2 linked regions of the Rhinolophus ferrumequinum genome follow. The protein of the gene in region 2 purifies or fractionates together with the protein of the main gene of each other region. This does not show direct contact. Links are inferred from orthologs where the notes say so. Each region holds a gene or a part of one and is shown on either strand. Other genes may lie near its edges.

Region 1 (15,919 bases), on a different chromosome or scaffold from region 2:
CAAAACACAGGTCCCTAATATTTTATGGGCAGAGTCCTTTCGTCCAATATGGCTCCCACAAGCTATGTGCAAGCTGCTCCAAAAATAAATTCACAGCTGCCTGCTTTGGGGCTGAGGAAAGGAATGGGTAGCTGCTAGTGTGCTCAGAGCTTAAATCTATCAAAATAAAAGCACAATTTACTGTCCAAGCCTTCTCCTGGGCGTTGGAAACCTCGAAAAGATTCCAGATCTCCAAAACAGTTACATCAGACAGATTCTGCCAGTGCAATTGCTGTCTAGGTGGGAAGACAGATTTCTGGTGCGCTTTATTCTGCTATCTTCCCAGAATCCTCTGGTCAATTGATTTCTGGCAAAGGTACCAAGTGAATTAAATAGGAAGTGGACAATTTTTACATAAGTGTTGTGGAACAATTGGATAGTTACATGCAAAGAAATTATCCTCAAACTTAACCTCACATCATAAACAAAATTAACTGGGAATAGATTATAAATTTAAAAATTTAGAGTTAAAAATATAAATCTAAGAGAAAATATAGACAAAAAATCATCACAACCTTGATTTAGCAGATTTCTCATATACAAAAATTATGAACTATGAAAGAAAAAAATTACTTAACATTTAAAACTTTTGCTCTTTAAAAGACACTTAATAAAATGAAAAAGTGAAACAAGTGACTATGAGAAAAATTTTTATAAACATCTTGTATCTAGAATATAAAAAGACTTCTTACAACTCAATAACAAAACCAAATATCTCTAATGCATAAAATATTTGAAAGACACTTCACCAGAAGCGATGTGTGACACAGAACATTGTCATGATGGAGGATGAAACCGTTTGCCCATTTCATGTTAATGCGTTGTTCATGATCCATGATTTACGGAACACTTTAAAACACACCTTCTCTCAACCTTAGCTTACACCCGACTGACTGCACCGAACAAGTTAAAACTTGTCACACACTGTTACTAAGTAAGGTTCAAGGCGCCACTTCCCATATTGAAGATCCCTGCCTTTCCACTGGATGGCACTTGGCCCCATATTTTGTGATCACAATGAAAAGGCTCCATGTCATACATCACTTCTGGTACAGCAATTTCTGTCAAATAAAACATTACAATGTGTCCTCATCCACCTTATTCACCAGATCTGGCACCGTGCGACTTCTGACTCGTCTCCAAAATCAAAATTGCCATGAAAGGTAAAAATTTGAATCGATTCAAGACATCAAGGCAGCCACGACAGCACAACTAAAGACACTCACGAAAGAGGACTTCCAGAACTGCTTCAGAAAGTGGCAAGAACAATGGGATAAGTGTGTTCAAAGTGAGGGGGAGTATTTTGAATGGCATTAATGGCAATGTGTCTTTTACTGCAATAAATTTTTTACATTTAAACATTCACCATATTTCGTGATCACACCTCGTATTATCAATAGATACTATTTCCCCATGTTTAATGACACTCAAGAGAGCTTCCCCTGTGTCTACTGCTTCTAACGTAAATATCAAAGCATTGCCCTTATAATGGATATGGTAATGATAAAGAAAATCATACATACCCTCTTCAGTAAAGAATTTTTCTACGGGTCCCACAAATTGATTGATTTCATTAAGTTCATCTTGGCTAACTTCTGGAAATGGGAAAACTTCTTTCTAAAAATGATAAACACTTAATAAAAATTAATTTTTAGGAACTTGCTATAGTGGTGATATCAGTGAAAAGGGAGACAGATTTCTTAGAGTCCATATCTGGTAGGCAGGGCATTCCTCATTGAAGGAATTAGAAAGCAACTTCCAGAAGGTATTTAAGATATAAGAATTGTATGTTAGACTCCACCACCTAGATACAGCCTCCCTCCCTGTATCTCAAGCAGGTTTATTCCCGACTTTGATCAGCTTTCCTTATCAATAAATCATGATGATTTTCCCATGAAACAAAGAGACTTGGACTAAACATTTAAAAGCCCTGAGCTCTGTTTCTTGATTTGCAGCTTACTTATTGTGTGGCCAAATCTCTTTATCTCTCCACATCTCCATTTTCTCACCAGTAACATGCAGGTAATATTTACTCAAGGTTGTTGTCAGAATCATGGAAGATAACTGGTGTGAAAGCTCATTACTAAAATGTAAAGTTTTACATTTGTTATTTTGTAAATTCAAAGATGCTGCAGCTGACGGGAACATACTGTGTTTACAAGGTCTGACATCTTGCCAGGTTCCCAGCCAGCTGCATATTCCAGCCTCTGTCCTCCCTGCTAGATGACATCTGCTACTTGTGCTAAACATACGAAGTAAGAAGGTCACTGGAGGAGGCCCAGCTGTTGACCCAGATCAACCTGAATTCAGCCCTGACGCTGCCACTTCTTAGATGTGTGACTTGTGTGTCAGTTTCCCTTCTGTTACAGATACCTCAGAAGGTAGCTGTGAGGCTCAAAAGAGGTAATACGTCCTGGAACATAAAGTAACTGTATTTGTGACAAATACTTGCTCTTACCTCCACTTCACACCATGGAAAACAAATTAGCTTCAAATCTCTGTCTCAATCCAATGAGTGGCCAATATTTCTGACTGGCCCAGGATTCCCCACTGGGCCATCACTGTATATTGCCTAAAATCATCCCACTGTATCCTTAGTCCCTCAAGGTTTTGGGGCTCCAGACAGCCCTGCCAGCATGACATGAGTATTTGGATTTGGACTCACAGCTGCTGAAAAATGGTGTCCCAGATCATGAGTTGCCAGACCCTGTCTTTCCTAATGGCGCCTCTCATCAAATGTCTCCAGACAAGGTGTTCAAAGCAAAGGAGTCCTCAATCTTCCTTCTCCAGCCCTTGAACTTCTAATCAGTCACCAAAGACTGTCCACTCTAGTAACATACTCCCAAGTCTGTTTTCTCCTCTCAGGCCCCATGACTAAAGGCTTATAGGTGGTTCCCTATCCAAAAGTGATAGCTGACTTAAAAGGAATTCCTGCCTCCATGCCATTTCTGACCCTGTCCTAGACTGTCTAGGAGGAAAATATGCTAAGACTAATCACTCTGAAGCCTCTCAGAACACAGCCAGCTCCTTAGCTGAAATACAGATGCTCAACCCACTGCTCTGGCTTTCACAAGCCCATGGGTTCACTCAGGCCTTGTGCAATGAGCTATGTTAGAGGACGATTATAAGATTATCCTGGTACCAGTGAGCACTCCAGAAAAGAAAAGAGAACAGCCTGGGAACTAGATGGCCCTCAAGCACAACCAAAGGCTAACTGCTGCAGGGAGCGAGATCTCCATGCATGGAAGAACAAATCTCTTCTATCAGTGTTCATAAACTAAACGGGGTGCCTCATGGGTGCTGGGTTTAATTCCCATCTGCGCTTCCAAATTTTTTAAAGTAGTAAAACATATTTTTTAGTTAAATCTAGTGCAGACACCAAATACGTAGAACAAATAAAAGTCAAGCTGCTCTGGTTGAGACTGCAGAGGGGGAGAAAGATCACCCAAATGTCTCCTACTCGGCTTCCCACTGGTCCCAGCAGTAGCCCCAGGGACACTCCCATGAATAACGAGGGTCCACCTGAAGGCAGTTTGACAACTACTGGTCTAGATGATCTTGAAGGTCTCTTTCTGTTCTGAAATTCTAGGCATCTCAGATGCCACGTTCCTGCTCAAACCCCAATAATGCTGTGAGAGATGATGCTGACCTAAACCAGGGCAATAGTGGTGCAGGTGCTTAAAAGCAGTCAGATTCTAAATATAAGAATCTGATTCTAAATGTAAGGCAGAGAAAACAAGACGTGCTGTCAGATTAGCTGTGGATTATGAGACTAAGAGGTATCAAAAGTAACTCCAGGTATTTGGCCTGAACAAGTTGAACAGTAAATTAACCATTTATGATTAAGAAGGCTGGTAGAAGGAATGGGGTTGGGTAGGGAGACCAGGAACTCAGTTTTGGATATGCTAAATTTGAAATGCTTATTCACACCTAAGTGAAGCTTTTGTTAGAAAGGTAGATATAAAAAGAGTCTGGAGTTCAGGGGAGAAATCTGAGCTGGAGAAATAAATTTGAGACATCCGCATATTGATGGTATTTAAAGCCACAATACTAAATTAGATCATCCAATGTGGGGTTGTAGAAGTCTACAGACTGAGCCCTAAAAAACTCCAGCTCCAACTGGGCTAGTTGAAAATGTTGGCCAATGTTTAGAGGTCAAGGAGCCAAGAAAGAAAAAGTGAAAAAGTTAAAAGGATCAGCCAGTAAAGCAGATGGAAAAACTAGGAGAGAATAGTTTCTTAGAAGCCAGAGTGATAAACTGTGTTAGACGCCAATGATGGGTCAAGTAAGATGAGGACAGAGAACAGATCTCTACATGTGATGACACAAAGGTCACTACTGACTTTCATGAGCATAAGTGGATTGTTCAGGACAAAAGCCTGAATGGTGTGAGTTCAAGATGCAGCAGAGAAGGAACAACTGATGATGTAGATGAGAAAGGACAGAATTACTGGGTCAAAGCCCTGAGTAGGTGAGAAGACATGAGGTACAGTGACGCGCTTGGCCTTTTCTTTAAGTAGACAGTTCATCTACAATAAGAGAATGCAGCCCACACGGCACAGAGCATAGGAAGGAGCGGCTAAGTGTTATGGTGGATGTTGTCATCTGACTGCATGTATTTTCTCAGTGAAATAGGAAGCAAAGCTGACAGCTCAGAGTGACAATGGGGGAGGGAGTGCCAAAAGTTTGGAAAAAGAGAAGCATGAATGACTTGTCTTCTTTCTTCACTGTGCTGAGGCGGGCATGAGATCCCAGGACAGAGCACCACAGCCTCAGGCTGGGGGAAAATGGTTTCCTAAACCTTAAAGACAGAGTTTGTATACTTCCTACCAGAGCAAACCACTGTTAGTCTGAGTCTCTGCTTCTGCATCTGTAATGCTTGGCAACCTTAGAGGAATGTTCCAAAGGAAAACCAGGGAATAAGTCCTTAAATGATATACTATCAGCCAACATTTCAGCCAAGCTCAAAGCACTTTATGCAAGTTTTTTCCTTTGGTTTACAAAGCACCTTTAGGAGGGGGTAAGTACTAGGCACATACACTAGTAAGTGTTGAAGCCAGCATTTACTACCTATTCTGCTGACTTCTGCATCTGCACAGTACCTTACAGGCTAAAAAGCATTTCCACACCCTATATATTTCACTGGGGCTTTACAACACATCTGTGAGACAGAATACATCACTAGCTCCTTTTCTAAGGCTAAAAGAACTGAGGCTCAGTCACAGAACCGAGGTCAAATCCAAGTCTTCCTACTATAAGAGGACGTTGAATGCTTAATAACCAAGCTGTTATTACTATTGCGTAAGATCTGGGTTACTACTGGGTGGTGCCACCGTGGAAGGGATGGGGTGAGGGCACCTTGGAGCCAGACTGCAGAGGAACCTGAATGGCAGAGTGAGGTGCTCGGACTCAGCTGTGGACGCCTCGGGTCTGCTGGAAGCTGACAGAGTGGCACGGTCCGAGCTGTGTTTAGGATTCAGAGAGGAAGCCCCACACATTCGGGGGCCAGACCGCTGAGTTGAGGGTTGCATCGCCTGGCCTAGTGTTTCCCAAACTGACTGGACAAGAACAAAATGGAACACTTGTCAAAACCATGAGTTCTCGGGGCCCCCCGCCCTGGAAAGACTCTTCCCTTTCCCTGGAAAAATGCACATGATCTAATGGGACTCAGGAACCTGGAGTGTTAGCACGCCTTGCCCCTCAGGTGTGCGGACACGGGAAAAGCTTGATCCCAGTGTTTCCTGATCGGGGCAAAAAGCAGGCGGCAGAGAGCCCGAGTGGGCCCAGACTTGGCGTTACCTTCTCGATTTTGCCCAGGAAGAGCTCCTTGGCGAAAGCTCGGCTCGTCCGACTGGTGCTCAGCCGGCGCGGGCTCACGGCAGAGGCCACCAGAGCGCTGCAGGAACGCGATGCCACAGCCCTTCGCAAGAGCCCGCAACAACTCATGCTGCCGGGAATCCCCACACTCCCACCGCCACCACCTTCTCCTCCGCGCCGCAGTCACGTGCACCGGGCCCGCGCTGCCGGATGACGTCACCGGCCCGCGCCGCCCGCCCACGCGCCTGAGCAGCCTCCCGCCCCGCCCCCCAGGGCCGCCGGCAGATCAGGGGGGCGGGGCCGCTGCCGTCTTGATGGTTTTGCTGTCCTGGCTGGTGGCCGTGGTGGCGAGGAGGGCGTTGTTATTTTTGTGGGCACCAGCGCGTGAGCGGCGGCCTGGCTGCCTCCATTTACCTCCCTCTTGCCAAGTGGAGCAACAAGGCCGTTGTAAAACTAAAGAAAAGCAAGGGAATGGGGAAATTTCACGATATACCTGTGGAAGGGAACCCACAGTACCGGTAATGTTACGGTTTTAAAGTGGATGGTGGATTCGGTTTTAAAGTGCATGGTGGATTCGTGAGAAGTCGTTTTGTTTCGATTATATGTGTACAATAAAAAATGTATACACATTTTAAGAAAGGGAAAAAACTAAATTGTAATAATACATAACGATAACAAAAGATGAATATAAGTCACATTTGACTTCTGCAATTACAAGAGGTGCTCAAGGTGGTTACCTGGTTATCTTCAGTGTCCAGAGACTTCTGATTATAGCAAACTATACTTCAGCATAGATAACACCTCTTAACATATGTGTGCATATCATTGTCACCCCAGTGGCACCTCGGTTTTTGAACGTCTCCATTGACGAACATTTTGGTTTACGAACGCCGTAAATTTTATGGATCTGTGGTATCATTAGATAGTAAAATTCATGCTCAATTTACAGTTTTAGGTGTTGATTTTAAAGGTCTGGAACAGATTAATCCATTTTGCATTACTTTCTATGGGGAAACTGCGCCTCGGTTTTCAAATGTTTCAGAACTCGAATGGTCTTCCGGAACGGATTGCGTTGGAAAACTGAGGTACCACTGTGTGTGTGTGTGTGTGTGTGTGTGTGTGTGTGTGTAGGAAAAGAAAAGTGATGTTCTGCAGGAGAGAGGTTTGGATAAAATCCTGTGAGTTACAACTGTACCTAGGAAACACCAATTTAAAAGGGCAGGCAAAGGAAGAGAAGCTTCAGAGGGAACCGAGAAGGGGTGGGAACAATAATTGGTGGAATAGGTCCAGAAAGTCATTAGGGCCCAGGGAGGAGGACCTGGCATCTCTGAGACACCGCACAGCCCAGCGATGAACCAGGCCAAGTGTGCACTCACTAGTGGTCTTAAGTCAGCCTCCTCCAGGAAGATTTTTCTCTCTGCTTACCTCTCATTGTACTTGTACCCTGACTATAGCATTTACCACAGTATTGGGAAATCCTTTTTGCCTTCATTCATTATGGCAACTCCTGGAGAATAGGAGTTGAATGGAATCTCATTCATCTCAATGGTGCTATGCCTGGCCCAATAAAATGTTTACTTGTTTGAGTAAAAACTTGATAGAACATCGGGGAAGAGCTCAAAAACTTTATTGGTTGCAGTGTATTTGCAAACATCTTCTGCAATTTGTTTTTTATTTTGTCTTTTCTTTGACTTGCAAAGGTTTATCGCCTGGTTTCTTCATCAGTGATCAATATTTGTCTATTTCAAAATATAGCTTTGCAAGAAGGCATTTGGAAACTGCTGCCTTTGTGAATTAACCTGGGGAGGGGGATGAAACAAAGAAAAGTGATATTGCAAAACCTGGGTTTCAATCTTGAGCTGCTGTACATTTTTGCCAAAACAAATGTCAAATCAATCAAGTAATCTGATAATGTGTCAGTTCCTGTTTAGTGTACAGAGATCAACCTTAAGTTAAGCAAGTGAGAAATTCAGTGGCACACAGTTTCCAAAACAAAAATTATAAATAAATTAAGGCATAATTTGTAAGTACTCAAGTAGTGTGTACAGTGGGAAAAGAGTTATAGAGTTCTATGCCGGTTTCTAAGTTTAGTTTCCTTATCTATAAAAATGAGTATAATACCATTTATCTCACAGGATTTTTGTGAGGATTTAGTAAAATAATCCATATGAAAGCATCTACCACATTAAATGAGCAATGTTTTTCCTTTAGTACTGTAAAAATGAAAAATGCCTACACTCTGAGGTTTGTATCTTATACCTGAGTATAAGCCTCTGAGAAATAGGATGCCATTTTTAAGTAGTTTACTATAGACATAGAATTTCCCATCTTCAGAGTTTAAAACATCCTCACTGAGTACAGGCATACCTTGTTTTATTGTGCTTTATTGCATTTCACAGATACTGCTTTTTGTACATTAAAGGTTTGTGACAACCGTGCACCAAACAAGTCAATCGGTGCCATTTTTCCAACAGCATTTTCTCACTTCATGTCTCTGTGTCAAATTTTGGTAATTCTTGTAATATTTCAGACTTTTCTTTATGATTATATTTGCTACGGTCTTATTTAAGAATTGCGTTTCATAAGGCTATTGATGCCATAGATGGTGATTCCTCTGATGGATCTGTAAATTAAAAACCTGGAAGGAATTCACCATGCTAGATGCCATTAAAAACATTTGTGATTTCACAGGAAGACGTCAACTATCAACATTAACAGGAGTTTGGAAGAAGTTGATTCCGACCCTCGTGAATGGCTTTTAAGGGTTCAAGACGTCGGTAGAGGAAGTAACTGCAGATATGGTAGAAAGGGCACCACATTGTTGTCTTCTTTTTAGAGATTGCCACAGCCACACATATCAGTCAGCAGCCATCAACATTGAGGCACGCCTGTTGACCAGTAAAAAGATTAAACTCACAGAAGACTTAGATAATGGTTAGCCTTTTTTGAGCAATAAAGTATCTTTATTTTTTGTGTTTTTTTCCTCTTTAAACAATATCTGCTTAATTAAATTAGTAAGTCTGACATCCAAAAAGATAAAACTTCAAAATTCCATCAAAGTTCTCAGTTGGACATTATTTTTCATTAAGATATGTACATTATTTTCTTAGACATGTTATTGCATGTTTAATAGACTACAGTATAGTGTAACCATAACTTTATACGCACTGGGAAACCAAAAAAATTGTGTGACTCACTTATTGCAATATCCGCTTTATTGCGGTGGTGTGGAACCAAACCCACAATATCTCCAAGGTATGCCTGTATCTCTGAATGTCCTTTCTATGAGTCACATCAATGCAGCTGATTCCCATACATAACTTACCAGCAAATAATCTGACACTCTTCCTTGGCCATAATAGCATACCAGGATGTTTGGTTTTGAGTTACAGGCATATTGTCTGAGTAGAAAACTACTCCTAGATACCCCAGTGTTAAAGCTGCAAAATCGGAAGCCAGTGGAGAAATTGACTTACAGAATTGGAGAAAAGAAAGGGTGAGGGGAGTTGTCTCCTGTTCCATGGCTATAAGATCAATAATCAGTTATGTGAAATATGAGTCTAGCTAAGGTTTCTGCCTCAAAGCAGTCAATATCCTAATACAAGGGCACACAAATAAGTTGTACACATTTTATCACTAGTTTATTTCCTGCTGAGAGAGAAGTTGGCTGACACCTTACTGTCTAAAGACCAAAGATCTGTGTGTACAGAGGTGTCCCTCAAAGAATCCTTTGTCTCATACACTACATTATGCTGTCTACTATTCCTTCCTTTTTGCTTTATACTTGTTCCCATTTGGGGTACATTATTTATTATGGAAACCTGGAAGTCACTAGCTTATTGAAAGCTGCAAAGGTAATGGAGTGTGTCAACTGATGGTCATTGATGCCAATTCAATGCCAACAGGAATCCCCAATTTGGGGTATAGTGAAGAAGGAAAACTATTCAGTGCAAATAGCTCAATTGTGATACAGCACAGCTGTGAGAACAGCACAGGTATGCGACAGCTCAATAGTGTTACAGCTCAATTATGATACAGAATGGCTTTGGAACAGCACATTCTGTTCCACAGAGGTGGCCCTCAGTCAAGACACTCCAGTCCAGTCCACTCAGGTAGGCTCTGCCATGCTCTGGTCCACTCCATCTGCTTCAGTCCACTCCACTCTGGTGTGGCAAGATGTCTTTGGTGTTTCAACTCCAGCTAGGGAAACAGTCTTCAGTGGAAAGGGAAAATGTGCTCCCCGAGCTAGAGGGGAGCTGAGATATAGAGACAAGTCCCTGCAACTGGTCCCTGATTGTTCTGACGTTATGTAAATGAGGAGTCCAAATCCTCACAGTTTTATTGGTCCAAACAGCACTGTCCTGATTGGTCAGAGTGGAGCCACTCTGATTGGTTGGTGAAGATGCTGATGGTGACACAGCTGCACAGCTCCGATTTGACAGGAAAAGCCTCAGTCCTGTTCGTTGAAACACACTTCCAGGAACTCCTTTACAAGGGCTGGCTCAGATGGCAGGACCACAGTGCAGGCAGGCAGTTCAGTGCCGGCTTCTCCCTGAAGTGCGGTTTGCATGAGAGGCCTGTTTAGCAACAGCTGCTATGCTCTGTTTTGTTTTAATTTTTGAGCCCAGTTAGCCACCAGGAGCCTTTCTTGGTAATATTTTCCTTCTCAGGGTCAACATGTGTAACAAGCCACCTGATCACTCAGTAGCTTAAAAAACAAAGGTTTATTTCTTGCTCATACTGAATGTCCACTCCAGTTTGACTGGAGGCTCTACTCACCTGAAGTGCAGTTTGTGTGAGAGGCCCCTGTTTAGAAATGGTTGCTAGGCTCTGCTTTTAAATTTGAGCCCAGATAGCCACCAGAAGACCTTCTTGGTAGATAACCTTCTTTCTTGGGGTTGACAAGTGTTATGGGTTGAAGTATAACCCCCAAAATTCATTTGGAGAAGTCTTAACCCCCAGTACCTCAGAAAGTGACTATTTAGAAAGAATTTCCTATTGCATCCCTTTGCAGATGTAACTAAGTTAGGATGAGGTTATATGGGAGTAGTGCGGACCCCTAATCCAATATGACTGATGCCCTTATCAGAAGGGGAAATTTGTACACAGATGTGCACACGGGGAGCATGCCATGCGAGGATGAAGACGGAGTTGAGATAATACTTCTATAAGCCAAGGAACATCAAGGCCAAGAAACCACAAGAAGCTAGGTCTGGAACAGTTTCTCAGAAGAACCAACCCTGCCAATACTTTGATCTTGGACTTCTAGCCTCAAGAACTAAGGAAATATAAATGTACATTTTTCTGTCAAAGGAAAAAAAAAAAAGAACTCAGGAAATAAGTTGTTGTTTAAGCCATCCAATTTGTGGTTCCTTGTTACAGCTGCCCAGCAGACTAATACAGAAGGTGTTGTAATTCTTGGCACACAGTGTTTTCAAAAATAAATAGGGCCTAATTGTGACCACAGAACTGAGGCTATGTCTTAGAACTCATATACCCAGTGCTCCTACTATGGTTTGGAATCAGCAGTCTTCCAAATGATAAGACTCTTGGCTCCATTAAAAATTTTGGAAATCCCCTTAGACTACACAGCCTGTTGCATAGGTAGGAGGCAGAGCAAAATGTAGGAAAGAGACCATGAAAAAGAGTCATGAGGAGAGATCTAGTCCCAATGTTGCCACTTGTCAGCTATGTGATTCTAGGCAAGTGCCCTCCCCTCTGAGCCTCAACTGTATTATCTATGACTTAGAATAAGTGTTGTAGCAGAGGCAACTAGTAACCAAAAAAGTGTGTCCCTTCCTTAGTGAGCATTTGTCAGTGAAAGCCTCCTCCCTCCCCACATCCAGAATAATGTTCTCACCAGCATAATGTGATGGAATATGTGACTTCTGTTCAGTTTTTAAGAAATGAGTGGTAATTCTTTGATGCTTCCTCTTCCACCAGCTGGAAGCAGAGGATGCTGTACTCTAGGGGCTGGCAGTACAAAATGGAAAGAGCCTACGTCTTTTAATCAACCATATGGATGAAAACCAAACAAAGAATAGGGACACCCACATTAAACTGTTACATGAGCAAGATACATATTGTATTAAGCCACTGATGTTTGGGGGTTTAATTGCTAAAGCAATCAGTATTAACTAATAAACATTATTTGTTAAATATTACCTAAACTAATACTACCGTTCAAGTTTCAAAGAAAAAATTATGTAAGTTACACTACAAATACAAAGAGTCATCATTACGAGGGGCAGTCAAATCCATCAGGCAGATTAATCGAGCACCGGGCAAGCACACTGCTATGTCGGTCAATAGAGATGGTGCTCTCAAAGTGAGTGATAACAGCAGCTAACATTTAATGAGTGCTTTCTGTACTAGGCTCTTTATATGTATTATCTCATTTAATACTCCAAAGAGGCCTGTAAATTCACTGTTTTACAAATGAGAGAACAGTCCTGGGCATGTGATGTACAGTATGATGGTGACCGTAAACAATCCTGTATTGCTTATTTGAAAGTTGCTAAAAGAGTGGATCTTAAGAGTTCTCATCACAAGAAAAAGAATTTGTAATTATGTGTGGTGATGGATGGTAACTAGACTTATCCGGGTTATCATTTTGCAATATATACAAATATCAAATCATCATGCTATACACCCGAAACTGACATAATGTTATATGCCAATCACACCCAATTAAAAAAAAAAACAACCTCAGGCTCTTGAAAACTTCCCCCAAATATTTCTGGGAGTTCTTGGGGGTGTGTCATATGTGTTTACCATCAGTGCTCACAGTTTAGGTACCCAATTCCATAATTGGGATCATTTTATCTTTGCTGGCTCTGAAATATGGGAAAAAAATGCAATGTTGAAATAAATGTTTAATGTATGTTAAGAAAATGGGCTTTTAGTTTAAACGTGGTTCTAATGATGATAGTCTATAAACGTTGGGAGAGCTGAAATATTAACGATGACAAAAAACAAGATACCCTAGATTTTATTTTTCCCTTATGTTTCAAAAGCCAAAATAGCCTAAGATCTAAGTTCTAGAGCATGTAGACCCACTTTTCCACTAAGAACAGCACATAAGATAATGCAAATGCTGTGTTGAAACCTCCAGAATTCTCAAGGCAAATAACTGCTGTAATGTAAGAGCCAGGTAATCACAGAATGCACTGGGGTCTACTTTATCTGTTTGCACAAAAGCCAGGAGAGCCTGAAATCATTTCAAGATGTCCAGCTAGCAGCGTCAGCTGGGGAAAACCTTAACTCATGGGAAACGGCATATAAAGATGATGCAATGCCAGTCCAAGCTAAAGAGACTTACTGTGGAATATTCCTTTTCAATTAGAACAAATAATGACCTGGAAATATATTTTGGGAAGCACAATTCATCACCCTGATGCCTGCATACGCAATCCTGACACAGCGATCCGACTAGGTCATTCATTATCAGGAAACTCAGCAGTCAGCCTCTTCCCAGGAAGCCCTGAGGCTCTAGCAACAGCGTTTGCCTCTCAGCGCTAACATTTCTTTGAAACTAATAACAGTATTTTTTTGTAATCCTCCAAGCCAGTGACTGTGGACTGCAAACCAGATAATGAAGTGCTATGCAGGAAAATTCATTAATGGTTCACCCACTGACAACAGAAGGTAGAGTCAGTTCAGGCCACCCAAAATGAGTCCCTGCATTTCAAAAAGCTTTCCATGCTCACTCAGCATGAGTTAGAGTTTACAGTTCCCTCACATTACCCCCCTCCTTTAAAAGAAATCTAGCAAAACATTATTTCCTATGCATAGACTCTTTTCCACATTCGTTCATTTATCATTTCTCCTTTGAAGTGCATGAAAAACTCTCAGTTCCTGAATGTTGTAAAGTCAGATTACAGGACCCTGAAGATTCGGCATTTAGTCAAAAATTATTGACAATTGCTGTGTCTTTTCCCTTTTAGAGGAAATTACTCCTCTTAATCACTTAACAGAACTTGGTATATGTACTTGAATTCGTTTTTTCCCCAGCTATAATTTATAAGAGAGATAAAGTGAAACTCACCTAAGGAACTAATTTTGTTATTTTTTTCCTGCAATATATTGTAATTAATAGGTCCCCTCCCCCCAACTTTTCCCATGAAGATCCAGTATTCTCTTGCTGGCCAGATTATAGCACATAAACTGTAAGTGCCCAGCACTGCCCTACAAAAAGCTCCCATTTTTGCTTTTAACTGCAAAAGGCATACAAGAATGGGTTTTCAGGATATCCAGCCAAAGGTGTCAGAAAGCTGGATTTGGACTCCAGGTCACAATGAAAAGGCCATTTGGGTGCTGTTTACTAAAAAATATTCTCTAGAACGAAGTCTGGTTTCTAGTCAGTGTCTGCCAAATGTGAATGATTAAGCACCTAATACGTGAATTGTCAATGTAAGAAATGTCCAAACCTGTAGAGAAGTTTAATTAGTTTATTTGAGCCAAACTGACAACAATTGCCAGGAAGCAAAATCTCAATGGATTAAGAAATTGCTCAGGAGAATGGCAGTTTTGCAGCTTATTTTATACATTAGAATCAAAGGAAGAAATGTAAGGAGGGTTGCATGAAATCCATTGGTGGTAGATTAGGGGGGTGGGAGAAAGCAAAGCAGGGAAATCTCTGGGACTGGATAAAAAGTAAAACAGACACAGACTTCTTTTACATTGGTGGGTACAGGGTAGTTAATAATTAACGTTTTACAGCACATAGGAGTAGTATTCAGGGAACAAGATAACCATGAAGGGTTCTGTGCCTCCTGGTCTGGTGTGGCCGGTTGTGCTCTGAAAAGTTCAGAAAAAAATGGATTACTCTGACATTCCAAGGGTATGTTAACTTAGATGAAAAAGGATAATACACAGGCTCACTTAAGGTAAACATTGACCTTTGTCAAGGAAGCTACAGGCCTAGGACGTGACTACCAGCCATTATTCCCTTTCAGTTAGGAATTTTTATGTTCATACCATCCTAGGTGGTTAATTTCAGTCTCTGAGTTTGTAGGGCCCATCATGCAGGCCTCCTCTGAGATTGTCAAATTTAGTGTGTGGCCCCTTTTTCGTCTACAGAATCCAGCTTGTGAGATAAAGCAGTATTTAGTCATCAACACTTTTTCTGTGGCTAGCAAATTTTTTTTTAAGGAAATAAAAACTAGTTGTAAATATACATTATAGCTAGCTATAAAATACATTATCTATATACAGGTTTTCAGAATAATGAGTTTGGCTTGAATTCCAGATGCGCAAAATGGGTTTTAACTGGAGAAGTTAACTAGAGAAGGAAGACTAAGGGGTAAAAAATAAACTTTAGACCCAAAGTTGATGCAGTGGTACTTCGGCTTTAAAACGTTTCCCTTGTTATAGCTTTGATGCCAGAGAAGGCTACAGGATCTAAGGGAATACTATGAACAACAAAATAAAAGGCTAATCAGTTGGTTTATGAACAGCAAGAAATGCTAATACTTTGGGGAGACGTCATCAAAATGACGGCGTGAGGTGACCTCTGTAAATCTCCCCTGGAATTTACAACTAATCGAACAACTATAACTCCACAAAGGACTCCCTGCACAGCAGACAGGCAAGACGAAGAGGCCCACTACTGAATTCACCTAAAGGTGGGCGAATTGCGTGAGTCGGGGACGAGGGAAGGGAGAAGTGCGGAGACGGAGCCGCGCAGGCACAGGACGCAGACCTAGCTCAGTGCTCCGAGCTCGCTGCATCCGGAACTACCGCAGCTGTGGGAGAGGGTAGACCTCGGACTGCTAGGGCTCCACTTATGGCCCACAGGGCTGAGGGGACAGCATACAATATGGCCAAACCCAGTGCTCACGGCAGAGACCTCGGAGCAAAGACTGAGGGAACAAGGCTGAAAACAGTGGTTTAAGCCCTCACTGCTGCAGAGAACAGAAGTCTTAGGCACTGAGACTAGCCGCCCCTCCCTACCCTCCCAGAGCTCGCCCCGCCTCCACCTGCCCAGTGCTAGAAGCGGAACAATAGCAGTGTCAGGTCAAAAGAACAGAATATTTGCTGTTCTGAGAACTGGACCGCAGAC
Region 2 (15,727 bases):
TTTGCCATTAGAAAAATTATATTTTGGTCTCTTTTAAATGTCATCTGAATGAGCTGGAGCGAGCCAGGGAGACTTCTCAGGAGAGGAAGGGGCTCACAGGTAGAGAGGGAGTGTTTGAATTTAGATTCTCACAAGCCAGAGGTACGGGGAGAAGCTGGACCGCCGTTAAGAGTGAAAAACGGACATGGTGTTACATGGCATTACTTACACAGATGGAGAAAGGCTCAAAAGGCGTCATTGATATTTAAGCCCCTGTGGGCAGCAAAACTCACAGCCCATCACTGTGGTCCCTCCCAAGAAAGAAAACACTGGCTGCTGAATTAGGATTTTGATAAAATGTTATGGAAGGGGGAGGGAAAAGTAGGGACAAGTCTCCTGGGTCAGTCTCATTTTTTATTGAAGACTTTTCCACCTCTTGTACTAGGTCAGTACTTATTCCTCCGAAATTCCTACCCGCTGTGGTTAGGAAACGAAGTTTCTGGTTATTGCGCACAATATCACACGTGGCGGTGTGCAAAGGACTGAACGACAACCAGCCATGTTTGACACTGATTCAAGTTGCCCTCAGAGAGGGCTGGCATCAGTATCCAAGTGTGTTGCCTGGCATCAGTATCCAAGGCCAGGATCTGTTACCATTGTGTTAATAAAACACAATGTATCGATTGATGGCGACACGGTTATAAACGCAGATTACACCAGGAAAAGGTTGTGGATTCAAACTCCACTGTCACTACACACTACCGTGAACAAGTTACCAGACGGCTCTAAGTCAAAAGTGTTCCCATCTGGACAATGAGGATTATCAAAGTACCTCCCTGACAACGTCACGGTGAAGGTGAAAAGAGATGATACGTGTAAAGAAAGGACTTAGAAGGCAGCGAACTAAACGCCCATTCATTACCACAGGAATGAATAAACGGAGGCAGTATGCTCACGTAATGGAATACAATACAGCCGTGAAAAAGATGGAGCTGGAGTTGTACACAGCATGATGGACAGATTGCCAAACGAAGTACGGAGCAAAGAGGCAGAAGGGTACCCAAAGTCTGATACCATTTCTGCGAAGTGAAAAATACACAAATCAATATTATATACTGTTTAGGAATATAGACACATGCAATAAAAAGATCATAGTATGTGTAGGAATGACACACACTGATTTCAGGAGAATGGCTAACTCTGGGAAGAGTAAGGGGACGCAGTTTGGGCAATGGTACCCGGGGGGCTTCAACTGTGGAACATTTCAGTTCAGGGGTTGACAGAAACTGTGGCCCATCCCAATCCAGCCTGTTTTTGTGTGCCCCGTGAGCTCAGAATGGCTTTCGCATTTTTAAATGGCTGGGGAAAGAATCAAAATAAGGTTAACATTTCATGACATGTGAAAATTACGTAAAATTCAAATTTCAGTGTCCACAAGTAATGTTTTCTTGGCATACAGTCCTGCTCATTGGTTTACTCTGTTGTCCATGGCTACTTTTACACTGCAACCTCTGAATTAGGGTGCTAGATACCCACAAAGCTGAAAATACTTACTATCTGGCAGAAAATGTTTGCCAATCCCAGTTTTAGTTTGCAAGCAGGATGGTGGGCATATCACTATGGTATGGTTACTATACATTCTTGTGTACCTGAAATACTTAATAATTTTTTAAAAAGAAAGAAATCACTTATCCCAGGATTTACTCATAGGAAGTACTTCATATATACTTTTAAATCTGATGAGAGAATTCCACACAAATCAGCTTCTACTGTGTATATCTTTACAGGAGCTGATACATATTGGGTTCCTAAATGTTCCCAGGTATACATGCCTGCTGTGTGCCTGTTTTCTTGTCCCCCAAATGCCACAGGTACTCCAGGAGAGAGGTCTCGGCGTCTCCTTCTTTTAACACATCAACGCATATATACTGTATGGAACTCAGCAAATAGACCTTGAACCTGTTGTCTGGTGGTGGGTGCCAGAAGTTTGCATTTTATCCAAACTCATTCCCTTCATCCTTTTGGGTATGTACAAATAATTCAAGGTTTAAAAAATAAAGAATGATGCCAAAAATAGCACTGGTCTCTATATATACAGATGCCATGCATATGGGTATCTGTTAGCAGCCAATTGTAAGCTAAATGACCAAATCCAGTAAAAAACAAAATGAATTATCTTCCCCCCTCTTCAGGGTTTTAAAATACTTGAAGTCATGGCCAATATTTTAAAATGAAGCAATTTCACATTTAAAAAAATCTAGATTTTTTAGCTTCTCTTGAAAATGGAAGATTACTGTCACATTTCTGCATGACAACAATTAGCAGGAGCTGGCAGTGACGGATCAAGTCAGTCAAGGCAGATGGGTTCAGTTTGCCTCAGTCCCCACCCCTCCCTAGTATATCACATTTGGTTGTCTTTTTCCATTTATATTCCCTCCTGACCCTATAGGCCTTTGCATTTGAGAGCCATGGCATACATATCATAAGAAAAAGCCTGATGAGGAAAGAAACAGCAATGTGACACTGAGTCACATAGCTTATTTATTTTCCTGAGTGTTGCTGTCATTCTCAAGAGCTCTTAGCACATCCAAACAGCATTTGTTGACATTACAGCAGATCAGGAATGTGTTTGTGAGTTTTAACTCTGGGACAGAGGATTGCTGCGACCACTTTTGGTGTTTTCACATCTTGCCTAAGGTCCTGGGAGGCCGAGCAACATGGAAATCATCTACACTTCCCTCACAGCACCTGACACAGAAGACCTGTCCACTCTGTCATCTGATTAACACCTGGTGGAGGATGGGAGGAAGGACGGAATGGAGGAAGAGAGGGACTGGGGAGTGAGTGAGGGAGGGAGGGAGGGAGGAAATCTGGAACTGAGTGATCAGCTTCTTTCAACAAGATTTTTAAAAATTTCTCATTATCTACCCCATTCTAAGAAGACAGTGACTCTAATGTATTAAATCTGTCTCCTTATAAATGATGCCATGTTGTTTTATGTGTGACGTGTTTTCATTAATACGAATAGTGTCGTACGTGAGATCGCATTGTGTTTATTACTTTTTTTCACGTTGCACTATTTTTAAAATGGATACATATTGCTGGATGGTTATCCAGCTTGTGGCTACAATTCCATGCTGTGCACCAACCACTCCATCGCATTTATGCATTGCTTTAGTGATGAGGACCTAAGAAGCCTTCATCTCTCTGCCACTAGAAACAGTGCTGCAATAAACATCTTAATCTAAATAAAACATACATTGATGTGTATCTACATATGTGTCTATAGATACACACATATATTCTTAAAATGAATATATATATATTTGAGGAGAATTTCTGTGGCATGTGAACTGGACTTGACCAAGTAGTAACAGACTGTTCTCCATAATTCCAGTGCTAATATAGATTGCCACCAGAAGTGCATAAGCATTCCCGTTTCATAAATTCTTGCTAACACTTGGCATTGTCCAGCTTTCTAATTTTTGTCCAACCAACGGGTAGAAAATGGTATCTCATATTTGTTTTCATTTGTACTTCTATGATTACTAGTGAGTTTGAGCATATATTCACATAATTATGGGGCATATAAGTTTCTGGGAACTGTCTATTCATATTTATTATCCTTGCCCATTTTTCTACTGGATTTTCTTTTCTTGTTGATTTGCTGGAGTGCCTTGTAGCGTTTAGGTATTGGCTCACTGCTGGCTTTAGAGGCTGTAAATTTCTTTTCTTAATCTTTCATTTGTCTGTTTTTTTTTAATTTTTATTTTATGGTGTCGTGTGCCATAAAAAATTATTACATATTTGTCCAATAATTCTTCTTTTTCTAAATGTATTTTTTTCCCCCTAACCCTGGAATATTAAGGTTTACCTACATTTTAAGCTATTGATTTGGAATTTTACCTTTCATATTTAAGTCTTCAATTCATCTGAAGTCTTCCATTTAATATGGCTTAAAGTTGCACTTTTCTCCAATATAGGAGAAAATTAAAATAAGCCATTTCCCCTAATGTGTATTAAACTCTCTAACTGAATTTACCTCCCAGCTATGATGAGATAGTTTGTATTTTTGGTTCAATCTCACTATCACAATAAAAAATAAAAGCTACAAAACATTGTTTTAAGGCATCGGTGGGCAACCAAGGCAGGGATTGAGGGCTCAAGATCCCAGAGAGATGAGAAATGGACAGAGTTAACTCTGACCTCTACCACTTTTCCTTGCAAGACGTTTGCCAATTTATAAGCACAGAGGGGAAAAGTAACAGATTAGAGTTTTCCAGTCTCATTGGGCTGGGGAGACAAAAATTGGAGTTCAGGGCTACTAAAGCAGCTAGAGCCCAAGCAAAGATCCTAGAGATATGAGACCACAGAGAAGTGAGCCTAATATTGTTGACAGTCATTACCTTTGAGGCATTTGCTGATACCTAAGCTGGGTGGAGTGAGAGGCAGAGAAGTCAAGCAGAAAGGGGTAGCTAAGAAGGCAGGAAATGAAAGAGAGCTTTTGGTAATCTCCCAGTACTAGGGAGGAAAATACTGGAGTTCATGGCCCTTCAGGATGAGAGGCCTTGGTAAACACACCAGGCTTTTAACTGAGATCCCTGAAGGGTGACTCCCTTGGAATAAGGGCAAACCAAATAGATCCTGCCTTGAGTCATGTTAATCCCTTATTGGATAAAAATGATTTGCCTCTATTATTACCACCTGCCAGAAGAAAAGTAACTTTTCTTTTGGGGGGAGATGTCATATTCCAGAGTCCCCATAATTTTTTATACACAATGCTTAGCATTTAATTAAAAAAAGAGAATTACTGTGCATGCAAGGAGACAAGACCAAATGATCAAAAACCAAGACAAAAAAAACCAAACCCAAATAAGATTCAGATATTGGGATTATCAAACATGGACTCCCCAACAACTTTGATAATATGATCAAGAAAATAGATTTAAGGTATAGAATGATTCTACTAGAGAACCTGAATCTTTAAAAAAAAATCTCATGGAAATTCTAAAACTGAAAATACAATAACTGAAATTCAGAACTCAATACAGCCGTTGAACCACAGATTGGACATAGCAGAAGAAAAGATTAATGAACTGGAAGATAAGTCAGTAGACAAATCTCAAAAGGAAGGTTGGAAACAAGGTTTTTAAAAAAGCATAAACCACATGGGACATGGAGAAAAGGTCTAACATACATGTTATAGGGGCCACACAAGGAGAGGAGAGAGAAAACAAGTCAGAAACAATATTTAATGGGAAACTGACAGATAAATTTCCAAGACTGATGAAAGATATCAAGCCAAAGGAATAAAAAAGTTCTGTGGTTTGCAAGCAGGATAAATACAGAGAAAAACACTCCTGGGAGTATATATATATACACACACACACACACATACATATACATATATATATACACACATACACACATACATATATATATATATGTCATAGTCAAACTGCACATGTGTAAGAACATATTAATCTTAAAAGCAGCCCAGAGGGGAAATGAAACACAAGATATCTTTACAGAAGGAGTAATAAGACTTCTCAACAGAAATGATGAATATCAGAAAACAATGGAATTTCATCTGCCAATGTAGAATTTTAGGCCAGCAAAAAAAAAAAAAAATCCTTTAAAAATGATGACAGAATGAAACAAACCAAAATTAGGATTATTTGCCACCAGTAGACGTAAATTACAAAAGAATGTTCTAGAAGATTGAAAACTCAGCAAGGAATGGAGAGCAACATAAAAGGGTAAATACATGCATGGTAAGGGGATAAATGAAGTAAACATGTTCTAAGACCATTTTATGTTCCTGGAAGTGGTAAAAGTACTAATTTATAGTAAACTTTAAGATTTATCAAGGATGCATACTGTAATCTTAAGGTAACTACTTAAATAATAATAATAAATGGCTACTAACAAGCTAATAGAGGAGAATATGGAATAATAAAAATACTTGATTAATCCAAAAGAAAGCAAGAAAGAAGAAAAAAGAAACTTAGAAGAGATGGAACAAACAGAAAAAGATAAAATGACAGATTTAAATGCAAATTGATCAATAATTACATTAAATGTAAACAGAATAAATACTCCCATTAAAAGACAAAGATTATAAGACTAGACTAAAAAAACTAAACACTTGATTATTACAAGAGATCCTTTTAAAATATAAAGACATACAAAGACTCAAAGCTAAATATTGGGAAAAATCCACAAGAAGCAAATATTAAATAAAAGAAAGCAGAAATAATTTCAAATAGACTTGAAAATAAAAACCATTATGGAGATTTAGAGGAACATAAAGCAATGATGAAAGAATCAACCTGCGAAGATATAACAATTAGTTTGTCCTTCCCCAATTAATTTGCATGGCAAATAAATACTGCTAACAAAGAAGAAGCAATAGAAATGTTAGTCCTCACGAATTAAGCAGGCCCTTAATTTAAGAACCAGACAATTTGTTCTTTCCGGCTGCCAGCTATCGCTTATGGGCCACTGCTATCTTGCAGATGCAAACCAAAAGTATAGCAATATGAACAGAGTGAGAAAAACGCTTCCAAAAAAAGTCTAATTATAGCTCTCATTTCCTAAGCACCTATTACATGCCAGGCAATTTTCCTGATCACTTTTATATTATCTCCTTTAATTCTCTCAACCACCCTGGGAGATATAATTATCCTCCCTCTATTTCCCAACCGGAATATTAAACACAGATTTAGGTCTGAGCAAAGCATAGGCACCAAGAAAATGTGAATCATTCGTATTTAGTGAACATATCCTATTCAGCCATGAAGATCTAAAAAGAAGCTTTTAAAATTTCAGCACTTCAGGGTGAGTTTTGTGTTTGTATGTTATGGGTCAGATTGTTGTATTACTGAATTACATGGGGAAGTAATGGAGGGAGGCTGATCTCTTTGGTGTTTTGAGGTCTTTGAAGGTCTTAACCTGGACCTGATTATAGTGCTTGCTTTACAGATAATAGAAATAAAAATAGCTAACACTTAAAGAGCATTTACTCTAGGGCCAAGAGCTCTTTGCATACATCAAATCAGTTTATTTAATCCTATGAAGTGGGTAGAGATGAGGAGACTGAGGTTCACAGAGTGACCTGGTAGTTAGTGCTGGAGCCAGGATTCCCAGCCAGGTGGTCTGGCTCCAGGGTCTGAGGTCTTAACCACAGCTTGCAAGTCAAACTGGGTCAGAATCTGAACCCAGGGTCTATCCAGCTCCCACTCAGTCAGAGCACTGGCTCTGTCATCTGCTACAGGGGCTCAAATCCCAGCTACGTGTCTTACCAGCTGTATGACCTTGGGCAAGTTATATAACTTCTCCGACCCTCATCCATAAGGATGGAGAAATAATATAGTGCCCTTCCTGGCAGGTTATCCTGCGGATTAAGTCTGAGAAGGTGTGAGTGAGTGGGTGCTCAACAAAGGGTTTTTAATTGTCAACAAATACTGACATTATTTGCATTCACACAGACAAAAGCTTAAAACATACATTCCAGGTAGACACTGGGAATTGTCATGAGGATCGTCGTCGGGGCAACCACTGGTTCCTATTGTGGCCTGACGGGCAGAGTTGAATTCTCTTGCAATTTGGGGAGAGTCTTCCTTCCTGTTCTCCCTTTTCTCCCCTCGTCACAATTACCTGAAATAGGAGACCAGCTTATCCTCTTTGCAGGGGAGGGAAGAGAGAAATCAGACAGTCTAATAGAGTCTGGGGGGAGGAGAAAGACTTAGCTTCTCTTTCCTGAAGGAAGCAGAGGCATGGGATTCATTTAGGACACAATTTTCCCCCCTGTGTTGCCCTGTTGCAAAACCCCTGATACCCCCACTGCTTCAGAACCAGGCCAAGAGGAGAGGGAAGAAAGAGGCATTCGGAAGCCCCGCCCTCTGGCCTTCTCCTTGGTCGGCTGCTGCCAGCGGCTTGCACCATTTGTTACCCTTGTCACCACCCCTGTCCCGGGGGACTGAGGAGCATTGGGGGAGCGTGAGGCTGCAGAGGAGCCGGAGAGATGACAGCTGGAAGGTGGGGGGTGGGGGCAACTTCAAAGGCTGGAAAGGATCAAAAGCAGATGGAGGGTCCCAGGCGGGTGGGAGGCTCACCTTTCCACACCCCCCTGAGCTCCCTGGCTACCTTGGCTGAGAACAGTGGCCCTGCCTGCTGGATGGAGGGGACAGATGGCCAGTCAGCCAACCGGACTCTAAAGAAGGCCAACTCCCAGCATCTTTCCAGGGCTTAGAAACCCAAACCTGCTGACAGCAATCACAGGCTTCTGGATAGACAGCAGCTGTGGCCCAAACCTGGACGTTTCTGGCTGCCTCCACCACCCTCATTTGATTTCAGTTCTAAATACATCTGCTAAGTGCAAACGAGCTCTGCCCGGGCTCCCCCGTCTCAGGGGTGCCGTTGCTTACAGCAAAAGCCCAGGACTGTCCCCCTCCTCCCTCTTCTTCAGCTCTCGTATCCAATCCATCACGAGGTGTCATCAAGTTCACCTCCTCAAACATCCATGGAACCAACTGTTCTCCATTTCCATGGCCATTGCCCAGGGCCAAGCCACCACCCTCTCTGTCCTGGACAACCACTTCCGCCTGCGTCTAGGTCTCCCTGGGGCCATGCTGTCCTCCCTCTGGTTTGTTCTCTGCACAGTGGCCTGAGGGACTTCGGACAACATAAACAAACCTGCCCCTCTCACTTCATCCTTACTCATGACCTCCTCCACTTGCTTTCTGTTATTCTTAGAATGAAGCAAAGACTTCTGAACACAGCCTTGATCTGGCTTCCCTTCACTCAACGTCTCATTCTAGCACACTGGCCTTCCTGCTCTTCCTGCACGCTCCCTCTTGTCGTGAGGTCCTTGCACATGCTGTTCCCTCTGCCTGGGACACCATTCCCTCCTGCTCACCCTTCAGAGGTCTCAGCTCTAGCATGATTTCCCAGGCCCTTCCTGAGTAGGGCTCCTTCCCCTTCAGCAGCTTCCACAGGGCCATAACTCACCCTTTTGTGCACCAGTCACTATAACAATTTTTATAGATGTTTGTATGTTATTTAATATCCACTTGTCTTCCTGACCAGATTGTAAGCTCCCTGATGGCAGGGATTTTGTCTGTTTTATCCACCATTACATTCTCAAAATCTGCAGGGCCTGACCCCTGAGAGCTGTTTAATAAATATTTGTGGTATAATGAATGAATGTGCTGTATGAATAAATGCAATATTTACCGAGTGCCCGCTAAGTGTGGGTCACTGCCATTGTCACCACCCAGACGGGGCACTCGTTTACATTCCTGCCTGGCCCCTCCAGGCACGAGTTTGAGACCCCCTGGTTTACTATTCTTCCCAGCGCTAGCACTGTATGTATGTAGGTCATCGGCCTACATACATCCAAGTACATGGATGTCGGATGTCACTGTCCCCAGGCCATCCCAGAAAGGAGAAATGGTCCAAAAGCTCCTGTGCAAATGACACAATGTGTTTGTTAATTATGGTTATGACACTATTAAGCTCTGCCTGGCTGTCATGGCTTTAGCAGTCCTGCTTTTTTCCGCCCTCCCTGTAGGTTTATTTTTTTTCCAGCTTTATTGAGATATAGTGGACATATTGTATAAGTTTAAGATGTACAATGAGATGATTTGATACATGTATATACAGCAAAATGATGGCCTTGCTTTGAGCTAAGAAAGCAGGAGGAGAAACGAGAAATGTCTACAGCCACAGCATAGAGGAGAAATCATGGCTTGAGAAGGAGCGTGGCGGGGGCAGTGGGTGCCTGGCATTTTGGCCCGTTAGGTCTTGTGGCAACAGCATCCTTTCTTTCTTTGGGGGAACTGCCTCTCAGTCCATGTGGCTTGAGTGAGGCTGACCCTACTAGTAACAGGCCCTGAGCCTGGCAATTAACATCTCCCATCGCTCGGTCTACAGTGATTGGCTCAGGGGTGGTGGTCAGGAGTCAATGGGGACCAATGAGAGGCCCAGGATGAACTGCTGGAGAAGAGCTGCTCTGTCCCACTGGAACTGAACCTTGGAAGGCAGTGCAGGGCCACAGATTATGCTTGAGTAGCACAGTCTTAGAAGACTGTGACCCGCATTCCGATACATGCGCATCACAACCTTGGAGTTCAGTGTGAAAGTACGAGCAGGAATAAACTATAGGCGCAGCCAGTGAAATTCAGTGACTGCTGTCACATGGCCGACTTTACCATCCATTGGCAAGGACCCCACAGGCTACACTGGTGTGGTCACAAGCCCCTCCTCCCGTCCACATCTCCATTCCCCAACCCCACCTCCCTTTCAATGGGGAAGGTGTCACTTAATAGAAATTATGGGATCAGGGCTGGGACACACAGGTGACGAACAAGGTGCTTTCAGCCTCTTCTCCAAAAGCGAAGAAGAAGGCAGATAAAGTAGGGACACAGTCGACACCAAATTCATTCACTGCTTCCTTCACTGAGTCAGGCTGCCAATCATTTAGAATCGCTGACTATGCATATCGAATACCAAAAAAGAAAGGCTGTTCTTGCTCACTAATATATGTCAATTTTTTTTTTTTTAAGGTCATGGACTGTTCCAGGCACTGGGGATACAGTGTCGAATCGGACAGACAAGTTTCCTGCTCTCATGAAGCTGACATTTGAGAGTGGGATTTGCTGTTCACCACCAGGCGGCATTCACCAGTGGGTGACCCCAGATAGCTGGGCTATAGAGCCGCACAGATTCTCCTAGAACTGAGAAAATAACTACATTACCTTTTCTTTCTTAACATATAATTTTAACCACCCAGGTAATGCCTCAAAATGTTTGTAAATAAATTTTTAAATTTTAGATAAAACTGCAGTTATCTTTGGCTATATCTCCCACCAGCTGTACCCACAATGACTAACAGGATAAATAGTTCTGAAGACCTTTTTTCTAGTCATAAACACACAGAAACATCCACCTACATCGTGAAAGACACACAGTATTTTATAAATGTGCTATATGAATGTATTTTTATAAATGTCCTGGATCTGTACATCCTGTTCTAGGATTTTTTTCACTCTAATAATACAGTATCTTGATGTTCTTTCCATGTCATGACACAGAGATCTAGCTTTTTCTTTTTCACTGCTTGCATAGGCTTCCCAGGTATGTCTATACCATACTTCTTTCGGCTAGTCCCCAGGTTTCCCAAGTTTTGTCATTAAGTGCCACACTGCCTGGGACAGGCTTTTTTGGGTACACATGCATATAGGTCTCTAGGAATGATACCCCAAAGGAAAACTGCTCGGTCTACCTTTAAAATTGTAAAGGACATTTGCAAATTGCCTCTCAGGGTGGCTGATCCCATTTATAGTCCCAATGGCGGTGTCCCGTCCTCACCCCCTGTACGGCCTCTCTTCCCTGATCTGAAAGCTTTTACCCCAAACTCTCTTAGGAAGACATAAACAATGATTTTAATATGTCTCCTGGGCAGTCTACTCCTTAGCACCATCGTTGTGCCAAGAGGAATATGTTCTAGGGAGTCATGTCAGAAAGGACCACCAGCCCGGGGCCGAGAATCTTAGCCCCAGACCAAACCGTCTCACTCAGGGTTGATACATTCTCATTTGTGGGAACGTGGTGCAGAATAAAAATGGTCGACGGGAGGGTTTTATTATGCTTCCCTCATTCCTGATAGCATGTAAAACAAGGGCCCTTTGTTTTCGCTAATCCAGTTTTGCTGTCCACGGGGTTTTTTTTAAAAAAAACTTTTTATTTTGGTTTCATTATAGATTCTTAAGAAGTTATAAAAAAAATAGTACAGAGAGGTCTTGGGTACCCTTCACTCAATTTACCCCCAGTGATTACATCTTACATAACTACAGTACAATATTGAAACCAAGAAATGGACACTGGTGCCGTGTGTGTGTGTGTGTGTGTGTGTGTGTGTGTGTGTGTGTGAGTGTGTAACTCAGTGTCATTTTATCACACATGTAGCAACCACCACTACCATCGAGACAGAGAACTACTCCATCACCACAAAGATCTCCCTTGTGCTGTCTCCTCACAGACACACCAACCTCGTTCCCCCAAACAGCCCGAACCCCTGGCAATCACTGCTCTGTGCTCCAGCTCTAAGATGGCATTTTGAAAACATTATATAAATGGAATCATACAGTATATGACCTCTTGAGGTTGGCTTTTTTTCTTTTTCTTTTTCTAACATGACTCAAGTTCAGATGCCTGCATTTTACAATGTGTTTTCCAATATTCATTAGGCCCACAAGAGGTACCTTCAAAAAAGTACCCAATGTGCAGTGACCGAACAGGACAGGACCACACACGTTCTACTGATTTCAGGTTGGGTTCAACAGGGCCCTGGAGCAAAATGTAGAACTTTATAGAATATTTCTCATGCAGAGCCAACAAAACCAACAACAAAACAAACCCAACCCATAACCAATGAAATAAGGCACAAAGCAAAACACCACGACTCTGACTGAAGGGAAGGCCTGCCCCTGCGAGTGATGGCTGGAGAATGTCAAATGCCTGGAGGCCACCACAGGGAGCCCCAGGACACCCCCTCCCCCAAGAAGCAAGTGAGCAAGCAGCAGCTGGAGTGCCTCTCAGACTGCAAAGGCGTTTTGCTCTGCGTTTATGGTCCCCACCCTCAGTAGATACCCCGGCAGCATCGTTGGCAGTCACTGCCCCTCTTCCTCTTGCTCAGCCAATCACAGCCGACCGCAATGACCTGGACCCGTTGTAAACCATCTTAAACCACGGAGAGACTCATTCTGAGACTCCAGAGCAGAGCGTTTTCATTTGAATGAAGGGGAATGGATGGGAGAAAAATACTGGAGAAATGGTAAGCGAAACTGAATACTAAAAACTGGCTATTAGAATATCTTCATTCTACCCAACTCATTATTTGAGCCCCCAGGAAGCACTGACCACTACAAAACTGAAACCGATAATAGTTCACACGCGGTAAATGCTGTCTAGGATCCAAGCACTGTTTTAAGTGCTATTCATGCTTGAGCTCACTTCATCTTCCCAGTAGCCCCTATGAGATCGACAGAACTCAGACCCCATTTTACAGATGAGAAGAGTGAGGACAGGAAGTTTAAGTCGCTTGCCTAAAATCACCGATAAGTAGCAGAGATGGATTTAAAGCCAGGATGTCTGGCTCTGAATGTTCTACTCTTCTGCCATCTGCCACCGACAGCAGCAGATGTCTTAAAATTAATCTTCCCTAATGACTGATCTCCTCTAATTACATCATTACCCTGAAATCGAATGGGCCATGCAGTGATTCATGAGTTTTTAAATGTTTTTCTTCTTGTTTTGAGGTTCATGCAATTTCATACAGTGACTTTTTTTCTCCCCCCACCCCCTTTTCTTTGTAAGGTGGCTACATGATGAGTAGGGGCTAGAAGTTTTTTTAAAATAAAAAATCTCAAACGGATGCAAAAGCAGACAGGATAGTAAAATGAATCGCTAGGCACCTATCACTCAGATTAAACAATTTTCAAGATTTTACCTCACTTGGCTCTTCTAAGCTTTTTGTTTTGTTTCGTTTCCTCTTTGATGAAGTTTCAAGAACAAATCTGAACTTGAAGTCTCTTTATCTGCCACGCTTCATTAAAAAAATATGGACGCTTTCCACTATGACACCTAACAAAATTCACCTTACTCCCTGTGCCATCTTAAACACAGTCCGTGTTCTACACCCCCCAGTCCCCAACAGTCTCCACACGGCCATTTAGGGTTGGTTTGTAAGATTCAGGGTCTAAACAAGGTCCACCCATTACATTTGCTTATAGTGTTTTTTACATGTATTTAACCTAGAATATCCTCTCCCTCCTGTTTATACAGACAATTGACATGCTGAAAGGACTAGGTTAGCTGTCTTGCAGAATATCTCATGTTCTAGACTTTTCTGTTTACTTCCTCATAGTAGTGTTAACTTATTTCTCTTTCTATTGTATTTCCCATAAATTAGCTTTAAAATGTGAATAGGTTCAGATTAATGGCGGGCGGGGAGGCAGTAATGCTTCAGAGTTCTTCCCACTGGATCACATCAGGAGGGGCTAGCTGTCCAGGTGCCCCCCTTTTACCGATACTGATAGGGGCCAGTGGGTCTGGGGGGCTCCACTCTCCTTCCCTCCATTCTGAGGTCCCCCATAAACCTCTGATCTAATGGTTTCATCCACTAATGCTCATGGGTTGAATCAATGATTTCATTAGGGTTTAGAAATTCTTTAAAAATTTTTAAGGAGAGAAGACTATTATAAGAATATTAATACATATTCTTGCAAATTGCTGTCCCAAATCTTTCTTCACTGCATTCTCCCAAGCAGCCTGTGAGGTTGCTGCAGAGCCAGCAGGAATTTGGAACAGTGTGGGGTGAATACATATGCAGGCTAGCTCAGGTGCCTGGGTACTTGGGTCAAATCCTGGCTCTGCCATTTACCAGTGGTATGGGATCTTGCTTCACTTCTCTGCCTCAATTTTCTCATCTGTCCAATGGGGATAAAAACGGTACCCGTCTCCTAGGGTGAAATGACTACTTATATAGTTCTTAGAACAGAATAGGATACAGAGTAAACTTTTCTCCACCCTTACAAGTGAAGAAACTGAGAGGCCAACTAATTAAATAAATGTCCTCAGGTCCCACAGCTCATGACAGGCAAAGCTGGAAAAAACATCTCATTTCACTGCATCCCGTTATATCAATGGAATGTTTTTCCACATTTTGAAAATGATCACAAATGATTAGGAAAAACACCTTTTGGCCATAATGACATAAATGGCTTCATATAACACCTAGTTCAAGGCCCCCCATGATGAGGACCCTGAGCACCCCTCCAATCCATCTCCTGGAAGTTCCACCCTTACTGCCTCTCCTGCGGGGTCACTGCCCTTTTGCTATTACTCAAACCATCTCATGGTGTTGCACTTGCTGGTCCTTCCGCCACAAATCCTCTTTCCCTGACTCATTCTCTCACTCCATTTAGGTATTTTTTCAAATGTTACCTTCTCAGAACTGCCTTCCCTGATATTATCAAACCCATTCCCCCATGTCTCCAACCACCACTCCCCCACTTTCCATCCCTGACCCTACGGTATTTGACTTTGCAAGTCTGTCACTATTTAAATTATGTTGCATATTTATTTGTTCATTATCTGGGGTGGGGGTGGGGCTATGTCTGTCTTCTTCACTCCTGCATCCTTGGCATCTAGTGCAGTAACTGTAATTGGCACTAAACAGTCAGCCAATAGGTAGCAGCTAAATGAATGCTGAACAAGGACCCTACAGTCTCATAGTCTTACACACAAGAATCATGTATGCACCATTGATCAATAGCATTTTTAGTATTTAATTCTTTTTTACAAAAGAAAAATAAATATATGACCATGGTACAAGAGTTGAACAGAGCAACATATAAAGTAAACAGATAAAGTTCCCCTAGGCCCACTCGTCTATGCTAACCATCATTCAGTGTGAGGTAGCCTGTGACAGCGTTTGTTAGGAGGTCCTCCGTGTTCTTTCTCTTCTCCCCTTTTTCTAACCAGAAAGGAATTCCTGATTCTTAGCAGAGCATGCAGCCACCCAGAATGAATTTCCCAACTTCCCTTGCAGTTAGGTTGTGGTCCTGTGACCAAATTATGGTCAGGATGGAATCAAAAGCAATGCATTCAACATTCAGGTCATATCCTTAAAGCAGTGGAGAGAACCTTCCCCTTGTCCCCATTCCTACTTGCTAGAATGTGA

Evidence for each region.
Region 1: the proteins of EYA2 (region 2) and ACAD9 purify together in Homo sapiens (affinity purification with mass spectrometry; 3 studies listed by BioGRID and IntAct, with this or other methods). This does not show direct contact. The link is inferred for Rhinolophus ferrumequinum from reciprocal best matches to the Homo sapiens genes EYA2 and ACAD9.

What each region holds. Positions count from the first base shown.
Region 1 is NC_046285.1:214,045-229,963, forward strand, and holds the start of ACAD9 (complex I assembly factor ACAD9, mitochondrial), read right to left. Parts: upstream 5,986-15,919; coding exon 5,839-5,985; intron 1,657-5,838; coding exon 1,563-1,656; intron 1-1,562. UniProt on the Homo sapiens protein: As part of the MCIA complex, primarily participates in the assembly of the mitochondrial complex I and therefore plays a role in oxidative phosphorylation.
Region 2 is NC_046306.1:11,461,882-11,477,608, forward strand, and holds the start of EYA2 (eyes absent homolog 2), read right to left. Parts: upstream 7,508-15,727; 5' UTR 7,491-7,507; coding exon 7,489-7,490; intron 1-7,488. UniProt on the Homo sapiens protein: Functions both as protein phosphatase and as transcriptional coactivator for SIX1, and probably also for SIX2, SIX4 and SIX5.